Linked DNA regions of Kluyveromyces lactis. The protein of the gene in region 1 purifies or fractionates together with the protein of each later gene. This does not show direct contact. Links are inferred from orthologs where the notes say so. Each region holds a gene or a part of one and is shown on either strand. Other genes may lie near its edges.

What was found.
Region 2: the proteins of CPR6 (region 1) and URA2 purify together in Saccharomyces cerevisiae (affinity purification with mass spectrometry; 5 studies listed by BioGRID, with this or other methods). This does not show direct contact. The link is inferred for Kluyveromyces lactis from reciprocal best matches to the Saccharomyces cerevisiae genes CPR6 and URA2.

Annotation. Positions count from the first base shown.
Region 1 is NC_006042.1:501,627-508,122, forward strand, and holds CPR6 (peptidylprolyl isomerase CPR6), read right to left. Parts: upstream 2,128-6,496; coding exon 1,009-2,127; downstream 1-1,008. Other genes in the region: SCM3 (Scm3p), read right to left, coding at 2,466-3,068; COA4 (Coa4p), read right to left, coding at 3,341-3,595; SEC31 (Sec31p), read left to right, coding at 4,381-6,496. UniProt on the Saccharomyces cerevisiae protein: PPIases accelerate the folding of proteins. It catalyzes the cis-trans isomerization of proline imidic peptide bonds in oligopeptides.
Region 2 is NC_006041.1:1,367,946-1,375,511, forward strand, and holds the start of URA2 (bifunctional carbamoylphosphate synthetase/aspartate transcarbamylase), read left to right. Parts: upstream 1-2,795; coding exon 2,796-7,566. Other genes in the region: TRK1 (Trk1p), read left to right, coding at 1-981. UniProt on the Saccharomyces cerevisiae protein: Multifunctional protein that encodes the first 2 enzymatic activities of the de novo pyrimidine pathway: carbamoylphosphate synthetase (CPSase; EC 6.3.5.5) and aspartate transcarbamylase (ATCase; EC 2.1.3.2).

The DNA.
Region 1 (6,496 bases):
ATGTGTTGATGATTTTTGTAAATATAATACAATCCCTTCAAAATAATGTTTGAACAATATGATGGACTTTTCCTACAGTTTCTTGGCCGAAGTAACAAGTGGTGGGATAAAAGGAGCCAAGCAGTGGGTTATGTCTCTTGTTGTTTTCTGTTGTTAGTCAAATATAATTCTTGAAGGAAAAATAAATGAATAAAAATGCAAATGGGTAAAGGAAAGCTGTAATTCGAAATCTGTTTATTGTTTTGTAGATAGCACAGTTCGCTCAATCCCTTGAATACCTCTATTTTTTTGGTAGTTTTTTTCTGTTAGTTTGCAAGTGCAATAAGCGCTTCAAAGGAAATTCGTTACTTGTTTCAAAGGTTGATTCCCAAAAATACCTTAAATCCAAGATAGGAGTGCAGGCTTATCGGATCACGATTAAAGCAGCAGGCTTGCAATTTCCGCAAAGTTATGAAACTCCTTAAATGTAGCTCAATAGATTGCTTTCAGATGGTTTATCCACACGATTGATAGAAAACACTAACAATCTTCAAATATGCTGTTTATTTAACGTAACGTAACGCACTGAAACGACAAAGAAGTAGCTAATGTGGTAGCCAAAAGATCCTAGAGGGGTACAGAGTTTGGTGTTTGGAGTGGGGAGGTCCAAAATGCCGGTGTATGAGCGGTGACTTTTCTCCTTGAATGAGCTGTTGCATGTCAAGCATTGTTTTTGGCCATTGTTTTCTTTATTCTTTGCCACTTGAACAAAGTTGAAAATTTTTGGATGTCGTTTAGTACGCAATACGTATGAAATGATAGGGATCTGCTATGCATTCGAGAATAGCGGAACGTACTTATGTCCGTCATCGCAAGAAGCATACTATTTAACTGATGGTTAATTACTTGAATATTTCCATCTGATTTTACTTTGATAGGTGATAAGGATTTTGAATAAGATGTGAGGAAATATATAGTCAGTACTAAGACACGTATCCATTTTATTTTGTTTTATAAGAGGAATCGAAATTAGGAAAACATTTTGGATAATGACTTCTTCTGTTTAGCAATCAACTCCTTTTTGGCTTTCTTGGCGTCTTGTAAAGCCTTTATAATTGCAGTATCATGTGGTTGGTATGTAGTAGCCAATTCGAGGTCTGTCACGGCCATTTCTGCGTTTTTTGTGTAGTAATAAGCTAAACCACGGCGATACAATGCCTTGGCCTTGGATTTATCGTCTGTGTTGTCAGCATGAAGGGCTTCAGTGGCGGCGCTAAGTGTTCTACTGTAATTTTTACTCTTGAGAGACACCAAAGCGATGTTCAAGAATAAGGATACCCTTAATGCGTCAATTTTTTTAACATCCTCCTCTGGTAAATCTTGAGGGAAGTACTGCTTAAGCATTTGACTACTTTTTTCATATTTCACAAGGGCTACTTCAAAATTTTTCTCCTTGAATTGTTTAGTACCGATCTCTTTTACTGCTTCTACAGCGTTCAAGACACTATTGACGTCGTTGGGATCAACCTTCGAATCGTCTGTTATATTTTCTTCATAATTGTCACCATACGCATCAGTCGGAGTCGCTTCTGCATCTGCAGGAACAGTATAATCGGATGGTAACACACCACAATCCTCAATTTTAACCTCTTTGGCCGGCTTATCAGCTTCATCTGTAGCATTATTTTCTATAGTTCTGACTAACCTTTTGCCCTGGATCACTTCACCGAAAACAACATGCTTACCATCTAAGTGTGGAGTTGGAACGCATGTTATGAAACATTGAGATCCATTGGTATTCGCACCAGCGTTTGCCATAGACAACAAGAATGGCTTATCATGCTTCAAAGTAAAATTCTCATCTTCAAATTTCTCTCCGTAAATCGATTCACCACCAGTGCCGTTGAAGTTAGTGAAATCTCCAAATTGACACATGAAAGACTTGATAACTCTGTGGAAGATCGAGCCCTTGTAGCTCAATGGTATATCCGGTTTGGATTTGGCAAATCCCGAGTTACCTTCACAGAGTTTTAAGAAATTCTCCGCCGTCTTTGGAACAACATCAGAATACAACTCGAAAACAATCCGACCAGCAGGTTTGCCCCCAATCGAAATATCGAAAAATGTCTTAGGTCTTGTTTCACTCATATTCAAATTCAATGAGCTAACTCGTATGTGTACTTTTTTCTCCACGTAGGTAGAAATAATGCAGGGTTAGTTTGCTTCTTCAAAATAACAACCGCTTTGCCGTAACCTACCTTTAAGATCAATGATACAAGCTGGGTTTGTCAAGAGAGGTTACTAATGGACTTTACTCAATTTATACTTCTTTTTCAGCCGTTCTCATTGTACTTTTGTTGTGGTTTTTTCAAGGCTAGATCGATAAAAGATGGAAAGCTTCGAATTTGCTAGAAAACCTTTAAAAATATATCAATACATGAACGAACCGTAAACACAGTGATAAATGAATATCTGAAGCGCCTGAACTAATTACTTTCAGGATTAGGTCTTAACTTCTTCATATAAACTTCATTACTGTTATCTGCTTCAGAGCCAGATCCCTCATCTAAACCATCGGCTTCGAGACCAGATTCAGACTCGGACCCTGTTTCTGAATCGTTAGTTTCGTGATCTTGCCAAACCGATGAATTATATGATGAGTCTTTAATATCCATAATGTCATTCAGAACACTTTTATAAGACACTGAACCACCATCTGGTAGCGAACTATGTAGAACTGATTTTTCGTTGCTCAAGTTTCGTAAATGGCCATTATCTTCTATGACTTCTCCAGTTTGTAAATCTATTACATCACCTTGATTATCTATACTTTCATATTTTTGTATGATCTGGGACCATACGCGTTTCATATTCTCGTCTGCTTTCTTATGACGCTCCATAACCTCTTCGTCTGACAATTTAGGAATTAATCGATTCTCTTTAGACATGATGTAAACCACACCATCTCGAGTAATTTGTTTTAGATTCTCTTCTTTCTTTGGCTCCTCTTCGCCTAGCAAATCCCTTAATGCACCTGTCAATCTTCGAAGATTAGCCTTCTTCTTACTATTTGATGGTCTTTTAATCATCAATAAAGCACTATTGCTGTAATTCTACTTGGAAACTTCACCTATGGTCCGGGAACTGGTTAAATTTCGTTATGTTCTGGTGTAAATGTTGTATTGAAACGATTATTCATTATCCTTAACTAAAATATGTCAATTTAAATGTTGCGCTGCGTAGACTAAAAATATTCAGATGGGTATTCGCATATACAATTAAATGGGTCTATATACAATATGTGGAGTATTTCGACAAAGCTTCACAGTGAAGGATCTTTTTACACCTGTAAATGCAAATCTCAATGTTCTTTTGCATCGACTGTCCCCACTCTCTGGTCATTACCCTTGGATTGCCAACAATCTTTGAACAGTTTCATTTCACCAAGACACTGTCTCCAATCATTAGTCTCTGCATGGCAAAGTTGTAAAGCTAGATTCTCTACGTAACAGCCTGTGTTCGATATTCTCTTGTCCCAGGCATCAGGATCTTCTTTATCCATATCCTGATACTCCGCTAATGCTTCCTTGTAGTATTTTGATTCTCCTGCAGACATAATTGAAAGTATGAAGCTACGACAGAATAATTGCTATTGACTCGGTCAACGTATCACTGTAGACTGTGATAGTCGTTTCAAGATTAACTGTTGCATGTACTATTGCACTTATTGTATTGTATTCTACTAAATTAACCATTTATACTTCAGTGTTTTTACTTTTCCAATTAAACCTTGCTCTCGATTGTTCTTTATGGCCACTGAACTAATTTTCCGTTCCAAAAGCTTGATTGAGCTACAAAAGGTTTAATGACTATTAATATAAGAAAAGAAAGCTGTGTTAAAAAACGTCAGAGATCCCCAAACTGCAATACAACACTATTGATCTATGTAATAAACGACCAGGCTGCGGTTTGCGTTGGCGTAATTGCACCGGGAGATCACGTGATATAAATGCTTTCAAGATTATGCAATCTCCAGGCACACAACATATTCAGTACTTAGTGCGGGATACCTACTATAAACTCAATAATTGTACAGTAACATAGGTAGTAAGATCCCTTTTCGAGTATACATTGTCCATGTTGTTGTCCCTTTGGATGGTGTCTCGCCTAATTTTGGGCCAGATCTCGACTGCAAAAAAATAATTTGCTGAAGTTTTTATAAATGATGGGAACTGAAGAAACCAAAGAAATTGAAGATTCAAAATATGTAAACCGAATTTTAGGAAAACAACAGCTTGTTCTGATCTTTTTCAGAAGAATAAAAGGTGGCTAAACAGTGTTACACGTAGCATTGAGTTTGCGCATCAATATTAGCTAATACCCGTGTGATAACTTGAAGCAATGGTGAAGCTAGCTGAGTATCCGCGTACGGCTACGTTTTCATGGTCTCACGATAGGGTGCCAGTTTTGGCGACTGGTCCTGCATCTGGAGCCATTGATGCTGATTTTTCAAGTACTTCGACATTAGAACTATGGTCGCTATTGTCTTTTGATGGGTCTAAACCTAGTGGATCTGTTGTCGCTGACGGTAAGTTCAACGATTTGGATTGGTCGGGCGATGACAAAATAATTGCTGGTGCCTTAGAAAATGGTGTTGTTGAGTTTTTCGATCCAAAAGCCTTGAAATCTGTTGCTAAGATCCATAAACATCAGGGTCCTGTCAAGACATTGAAGTTCAATGCCAAACAGAACAATGTTCTTGTCTCTGGTGGCACTCAAGGTGAAATCTTTGTTTGGGATTCAAACAAGATCGGATCTTCAGATTATTCTCCTTTTTCGGCTGGTATCAGTAATACTCCAATCGATGAAGTTTCCTCGTTGTCATGGAACCAATCGTTGGCACATGTGTTTGCATCAGCCAGTTCTTCAGGGTATGCATCTGTGTGGGATTTAAAGGCAAAGAAACAAGTTTTGCATTTGAACCACAGTTCCTCTACCACTGGTATTAAGGTCCCATTGACGGTTGTTGACTGGCATCCAACCAGCTCTACCATTATTGCAACCGCCTCTAGCTCAGATACAGAACCTCTTGTCCTAACGTGGGATCTAAGAAATGCTCATGTACCATTGAAAGTGCTATCACAAGGACATTCAAAGGGTGTTTTATCGTTGGATTGGTGCAAACAAGATGAAAATCTATTGTTATCCAGTGGTCGTGATAACACTTCGGTGTTATGGAATCCGCAAGAAGGCTCCATCTTAACTCAGTTCGCTCCACGTGGTAACTGGGTCTTTAAATCCAAATTTGCTCCTGAAGCTCCAGATTTATTTGCATCCGCATCCTTTGATAGTAAGATCGTCGTTCAAACGTTGCAAAATTTGAGCAATACCTTGGATGCTCAGGCAAATGAGAGTAAGCAACATGCTTCTGAGGATGAATTCTGGAACAATGTAACCTCCAACTCAGTTGATGACAAACCTAACACTGTCAAGATCCAAGCCCCAAAATGGTACGGCAACAAATCTCCTGCCGCTCAATGGGCATTCGGTGGTAAGCTGGTTAGAATATCCGATGATGGTAAAGGTGTCAGTGTAGTAAAACCTTGTATTTCTGGACTGGAAAAGAATCAGCTTTTCGATGAGTCCTTGAAATCCAAGGACTTCGTGAAATTGATCAATAAGAGATTATCACAAAAGATCAACGCAACAAACGAAGATGACTGGAATTTACTAGAGAATCTATCTATGGATGGAACTGCACTTTACTTGAAAGATGCATTATCATTAGATGATGCCAAAGAAGACATCATCAAAAAGTCAGAAGAAGATGGTGCTGACTTCTTCAACCAACTAAACGACAAATTCGTTCCCGAAGGCGCTTTCAAGCTTGATTTTTCTGAATCAATGAAACCACTCACTAACTTTTTGATCAAAGGTGATTTGAAATCTGCTTTAAATCAGGCTTTAGAGAAGGACTTGTTATTAGAGGCTTTGGTGATCGCTATTACTTCCAATGATGCCTTGTTGGCGGATAAAGCGAAGAACGCCTACTTTTCCAAGCATTCTGAGCAATCTGGGTTGGCAAGAACTTTATTCTCTGTTGCTCAACGCGATGTTGAAGATATTGTTACAAACATCGATGTTTCTCAATGGAAAGATGCTGTTCAGTTCATTTTCAACTACACCAAGGAAGATATCTCAAAGAAAAATTCACTTTTAGTAAAATTAGGTGATAGATTACTACACGAGGGAAACAGAAAAGATGCTATTTTATTATATTTGAGCGGCCAGTCCTTGGAAAGCATTGCGTCAATTTGGCTGAAAGAATTCCCTGAACTTGAAAATCAATTGACGTCTCAAAAGGACACCTTATACGAGGCCCATCTGGAATGTTTAACTGAATTTGTGGAAAGGTTCACCGTGTTATCTGACTACCTTGACAAAGGTACTGTTAAATTAACTAATCAAACGCTAATCTCAAAGTTTTTGGAATTCGTCAATGTCACAGCTGCCAATG
Region 2 (7,566 bases), on another chromosome or scaffold:
GCACATTTACGTAGACAATTGTCTTTCGATCTATGGTATATGTTTTTGGGTCTCTTTATTATCTGTATCTGCGAAGGTGGGAAGATCCAAGATCCAAGCAAACCCAGTTTCACCGTTTTTCAATGTCTCTTCGAAGTTGTAAGTGCTTATGGTACCGTTGGATTGTCCCTTGGATACCCTGGCTCCAATCAATCGTTTTCAGGACAATTCACAACTATATCAAAACTAGTCATCATTGCAATGTTGATAAGAGGAAGACACAGAGGTTTGCCCTATACTTTGGATCGTGCCATCATCTTACCAAGTGCGAAATTGAAGGAAAATGATTTACTCCATGAGTTGACTCACTCTAGGAGACCCACAACTTTAGGATTGAATGGATCTACATCTCATGATAACAGAACCACCTCTGTCGCTGATTCGACATCTTCGATTGGTAACAAACATATAGACCGGTTCCGTGACCGTTCACGTTCCGTATGGCACGGTTTAACCTCTGCGTTTAGTATGGGTCATCAACCACGGCCACATAGAACCATGACGTCTAGATCGTTAGATGATACCATTACAACGGACCGCATGATGTCCACGCAAAGTAACCAATCTTTTAACAATGAATCACAACAACAAACATTTTCGGATGGTAACAACTATCCAATGCACAGCATGAACTCAAACCACCATTATGACAACAGATCTATGACCCCCAACCAATATCACGTGTTTAGAGATTCCTTTGATCTGAGATCGGGTATTACTGAGCACAAAGGTTTGGATGGTGTACATGCAAATACCGTGGAAGCATTCGACCATTCGAACTATAATTCCAACAGTAATAGCAACAGTAACAGCAATTCAAACAGCAAGAATACGGAAACTTCAAGCTCAGGACCAATCTTCAATCACATCAATTCCTCTACCTCATTGCATTCACCACATTCTACAGGTTCAATGCAATCTCTGAATAGCTCACCCAGATAGCAACGATGGTACAAAAGACCACATTCTACACCCTAAATTAAATATGCTATTAAATAGCATGAGTTATTCTATCACCTCTAATTTCCAGACTGACTGAAGAACAGAATTGAACACTCGTAAAATCATGGGTAAAACATAATAGGTAGACACATTATGGACTTTCTAGTAATCAAACCTTATTCATTGTGCTTTCTTTGTCCCAGAATGCGCGTTACTGCCGTATAGTATGCATTGCATCGAGATGATCTCATCACTGTTACCCTGATATCCGATGGAAAACGGTGACATCACCGTCGGAGGTATTGGAAGCCCTAACGAGTCATTATCAAGTCACATCAAACGAACAGTGGTGTACGGATTCTATGTCCATAATGTTTTTCTGCATGTCTGTAATTTTTGGGAAACATTTATCGATTTGTCTACAAATGTCCATCGAAAAGAAACAATTCCATCTAAAAAATTTTCCGCGGTTTGCCAAACTCATCTCATCGCATCTAGAGATCCTACAGCCAAACAACCGAGAGAAAATTTTTTTTCTTCACCTAGCCGCCCATCAAGAGTGATTTTGTATATAAGGAGGGGTACGAATCCCATTGAATTGTTATATCGTTTTCCTTTTAATGATACTTCTGAAGATCTGTCACAACTTTTTTTTACTTGTACTTTCTTGAAGTATTTTAGTTTCGGTGTATTTACTGTACTATTATACTCATTATTCTCTCAGTATATTTTAGAATAATCATTTTGTTTCTAAATTATCGTATTCCTTTTTCCATTCACCATTACTATATGTTCTGTTTTAAATACTTTTATTACTTAGTCTCTTCTTGTTCTCAGTAGTCAGCTAAAAAATAAACTTACAGCCGCCCCCCTTTCCTCTAAGTCCCACCTTTGAGAGAGATAGAGAGAGTGTTAATAGCAGAGAAAGTTCGTGTATCAGTCGTTGAAACTATTCGTTTTAGTATGTTCTTTTTTTTTGTTTTCTGTTTGGTTTTCTAAGTGGCTACTAAGCAATGCTTTAAGCTTCTATTCTATGACATTTTTTTTCTACTTCCTCTTATTCATCCAAGTTAAAAATCGGATTGTTAGTTTGCAATCGCAGTCTTTTCTTCAACAGCGAACGGCCAGCAAATGCGTTTTTGCAGGGTAACAACAATTTGACGTTATAATTACTGCATGAGATTCAAACTTGCGCCTTCACTCTTGTCGAATTTACGAGGCCTAAAACTTTGCGTAGCTCGAAGATAGCCTGAAAGTTACGAAGGTACCATAGAAAAAAGTAAAATTGGATGGATGCACGAAAAAGAAACAGATTGAAATTTGATTAATAGTCACTTTTAAGATTGACCAACGAATAAATGTTGGTTAAATTAGAGATTGGAAATAATCAATAGAAGAAGCTAGCGAAGTTTTTTGCTGAAAGTGTTTAAACAGCGTGGAAGTTCACACGAACATCAGGGCCTGATTTACTAACAGTTCTAATTTCAACAAAAAATTACGATCTAAGATTAGACATTAATTTTAAAGGAATAAAAACCACTTAATTGATTAATTTCTTACCTATAACTAAGAGAGGTAAAATTAGAGTCAATTATAAACTTAAACATCAATTGCCATTCATTTAGTGCGATTCTTTTCATTATTACACATAGTTAGAAAGGATCCAATCGGGTAAAAAACCTCATTGTTTTATTTTACTTTTAAGTCCCCCCCCGTTGCTGCTTTTAAAGAAGCAAAAGAAGTGAAAATAAATCCAATAGGTTAGTTCATCGTTTGAAACACCCTTTACGCTTAAGAAAATACAAACTTCCGTTATGTCTATTATCACTCCTACTGCTCCTATCACCCCTCCAATGGAGTCTACTGGTGATCGTATGATTACCTTGGAATTAAAGGATGGAACTACTTTACAAGGTTACTCCTTTGGTGCCGAAACCACTGCAGCCGGTGAATTGGTTTTCCAAACTGGTATGGTCGGTTACCCAGAGTCCATCACAGATCCTTCTTATGAGGGTCAGATTTTAGTTATCACTTTCCCATTGGTTGGTAACTACGGTGTCCCTGACCGTAAATTAATGGATGAATACGTGGAAGGATTACCACGTTATTTTGAATCCAACAGAATTCATGTTGCTGGTTTAGTCATTGCTCATTACACCGAAGAATATTCTCACTGGTTAGCTCAATCTTCTTTAGGTACTTGGTTGAAAGAGAGCAACGTTCCAGCTGTCTACGGTATTGATAGCAGAAGCTTGACCAAACATTTAAGAGAAGCTGGTTCCATGTTGGGTAGATTCGCTCTACAAAAGCCCGGGACCTCTTTCGAGGATGCCAACTCTGCTGAATGGATGTCTTACTTCGAAACTCCAGAATGGGTTGATCCAAATGTTGATAATTTAGTGGCAAAGGTTTCCCTAAAGGCTCCTAAGCTTTTCGTTCCAAACCACCCAGACATCGATCTTGTTCAAGGTCCTGACGGAAAAACTTTACGAATTGTTGCCGTTGATGTGGGTATGAAGTACAACCAAATCCGTTGTTTCGTCAAGCGTGGTGTTGAATTGTTGGTTGTTCCATGGGATTACGACTTCACCACCGAAGAATATGACGGTTTGTTCATCTCTAATGGTCCTGGTAATCCAGCCATTCTGCAGGAAGTGTCCGATAGATTGACTAAAGTTTTAGATGCGAAGAAGACCCCAGTCTTCGGTATCTGTTTGGGTCATCAATTACTAGCTCGTGCTTCTGGTGCCTCAACTTTGAAGATGAAGTTCGGTAACAGAGGTCACAATATTCCATGTACTTCGACTGTCTCTGGTAGATGTTATATCACTTCTCAAAACCATGGTTTCGCTGTAGATGAAACTAGTTTGACCAATGGCTGGAAATCATTGTTCACCAACGCTAACGATGGTTCCAATGAAGGGATTTATCACTCAGAGTTGCCTTACTTCTCCGTTCAATTCCATCCTGAATCTACTCCAGGTCCAAGAGACACTGAATTCTTGTTCGATGTCTTCATTCAATCTGTTCTAGATTTCAAGCAAACTGGTGTATTGAAGCAAGTTGAATTCCCAGGCGGTAACATTGAGGAGAACTTGGCTGCTCATCCTAGAGAAGATGTCAAGAAAGTTTTAGTCTTGGGTTCCGGTGGGTTATCTATTGGTCAAGCTGGTGAGTTTGATTATTCTGGTTCTCAAGCCATCAAGGCTTTAAAAGAAGAAGGTATCTACACGATCTTAATTAACCCTAATATCGCTACCATTCAAACCTCTAAGGGTCTAGCTGATAAAGTGTACTTCTTGCCTGTTACCGCTGAATTCGTTAGGAAAGTAATTTTACATGAACGCCCAGATGCCATTTACGTGACATTTGGTGGTCAAACTGCTTTGTCAGTCGGTATTGAAATGAAAGATGAATTCGAAACTTTGGGTGTCAAGGTCTTGGGTACTCCAATCGATACTGTCATCACCACTGAGGATCGTGAACTATTTGCTAATGCCATGGACGAAATTAATGAGAAATGTGCTAAGTCTGCTGCTGCTGCCACTGTTGCGGAAGCTCTAGAGGCTGTCAAGGATATCGGATTCCCCGTCATTGTTCGTGCAGCTTACGCTTTAGGTGGTCTAGGTTCCGGGTTTGCTTCGAATGAAAAAGAATTGGTCGACTTGTGTAACGTTGCCTTTGCTTCTTCCCCTCAAGTTTTGGTTGAAAGATCCATGAAAGGTTGGAAAGAAATCGAGTACGAAGTTGTTCGTGATGCTTTCGACAATTGTATCACTGTCTGTAATATGGAAAACTTTGATCCTCTAGGTATTCACACTGGTGATTCCATTGTCATTGCGCCATCCCAAACCCTATCAGACGAGGATTACAATATGTTAAGAACTACCGCAGTTAACGTCATTAGACATCTAGGTGTTGTTGGTGAATGTAACATCCAATATGCATTAAATCCAACTTCAAAAGAATACTGTATCATTGAAGTCAATGCTCGTCTATCTCGTTCCTCTGCCCTAGCTTCAAAGGCCACTGGTTACCCATTAGCTTATACCGCAGCTAAGTTGGGTTTAAACATTCCTTTATACGAAGTCAAGAACTCGGTCACTCGTTCTACCTGTGCTTGTTTCGAACCCTCTTTAGATTACTGTGTTGTTAAGATGCCAAGATGGGACTTGAAGAAGTTCACTCGTGTCTCAACTCTGCTTTCTTCCTCAATGAAATCTGTTGGTGAGGTCATGAGCATCGGTAGAACTTTCGAAGAGGCGATTCAAAAAGCTATCAGATCTACTGAATACTCTAATATTGGTTTCAGTGAAACTGATGATGAACTTGATATCGACTATGAGTTAAGTAATCCTTCTGATATGAGAATTTTTGCCATTGCTAATGCATTTGCTAAATTTGGTTATTCTATCGATCAAGTTTGGGAGAAAACCAATATTGATAAATGGTTCTTGAACAAACTATATAGCTTGATCAAATTTTCAGACAAGATCAGTTCTTATGGGTCCAAGGAGAACCTACCAGCGTTGGTTTTGAAGCAAGCCAAGCAATTAGGTTTCGAAGACAGACAAATTGCTAAATTTTTGAATTCGAATGAAGTTGCTATTCGTCGTCTAAGAAAAGAATACGGCATTATTCCATTTGTAAAGCAAATTGATACTGTTGCTGCGGAATTCCCAGCACACACAAACTATTTGTATCTAACATACAATGCAGCTGCTCACGATTTGGACTTCAATGACCACGGTGTTATGGTTTTGGGTTCGGGTGTTTACCGTATTGGTTCTTCTGTTGAGTTCGATTGGTGTGCTGTTACCGCTGTTAGAACTTTGCGTAAAAATAACTTCAAAACAATCATGGTTAATTACAACCCTGAAACAGTTTCTACCGATTATGATGAGGCTGACAGACTTTACTTCGAAACTATTAACTTAGAAAGAATTATGGATATTTACGAATTGGAAAGCTCTGCTGGTGTTGTTGTTTCTATGGGTGGTCAAACTTCCAACAATATTGCCATGTCTTTACACCGTGAAAATGTTAAGATCCTAGGTACTTCTCCAGAGATGATCGATTCTGCTGAAAACCGTTATAAGTTCTCACGTATGTTGGATCAAATCGATGTTGACCAACCTGCTTGGAAAGAATTGACTTCCATGGATGAGGCCGAGGATTTTGCTGAAAAAGTAAGCTATCCTGTTTTAGTCAGACCTTCCTACGTCTTATCAGGTGCCGCAATGAATACAGTCTATTCTAAGGATGACTTGGAATCTTATTTGAACCAGGCCGTGGAAGTTTCTCGTGAATATCCAGTTGTTATCACCAAATATATTGAAAATGCTAAGGAAATCGAAATGGACGCAGTTGCCTTAGACGGTGAATTGATTATGCATGTCGTTTCTGAGCATGTTGAAAACGCAGGTGTTCACTCTGGTGACGCTACACTAATTGTTCCTCCTCAAGATTTAGACCCTGAAACAGTTCGTAGAATCGTTGAAGCCACTGCCAAAATCGGTAGAGCATTGCAGATTACTGGTCCATATAACATTCAATTTATTGCTAAGAACAACGAAATTAAGGTTATTGAATGTAACGTTAGAGCATCTCGTTCGTTCCCATTCATCTCGAAAGTTGTTGGTGTTAACTTGATTGAAATGGCCACTAAGGCCATTATGGGCATTCCTGTAACCCCTTACCCAGTGGAGAAACTTCCTGATGACTACGTAGCAATCAAAGTTCCTCAATTCTCTTTCCCACGTTTGGCTGGTGCAGATCCAGTTCTCGGAGTTGAAATGGCCTCAACTGGTGAAGTTGCTGCTTTCGGCCATTCTAAATATGAAGCTTACTTGAAGTCCTTGTTGGCAACTGGCTTCAAATTACCAAAGAAAAACATTCTATTATCCATCGGTTCATACAAGGAAAAACAAGAATTGCTACCAGGAGTGAAGAAGTTATACAATATGGGTTACAAGTTGTTTGCCACTGCCGGTACCGCAGATTTCATTTCTGAACATGGAATTCCAGTTCAATACTTGGAAGTATTGAACGAAGAAGACGATGAAAAGTCCGAATATTCTTTGACACAACATCTAGCCAACAACAAGATTGATTTGTATATCAACCTACCATCTGCTAATAGGTTCCGTCGTCCTGCATCTTATGTTTCGAAGGGTTATAGAACTCGTCGTATGGCTGTTGATTTTTCTGTTCCATTAGTAACAAACGTCAAATGTGCCAAACTTTTGATTGAAGCCCTATCCAGAAATATGTCACTAGATGTTTCCGAACGTGATGCCCAAACTTCTCACAGAACTGTGACCATCCCTGGTTTGATAAACATCTCTGCTTATGTTCCAAATATCTCTAACGTTTTGTTAGGTCCAGCAGAGCTCAAGGAAGTAACCCGTCTTTCTGTTGAATCTGGTTTCACTTACTCACAGATTATGCCAAAGTCTTCTAGTGGACCAGTTATTACGGATGCTGCTTCTTTGAAGGTTGCCAACTCAGTTGTTAAAGACTCTGCTTACACAAACTTTGGTTTCACTGTTGCGGCTACTCCAAACAATATTGACACCGTCTCCG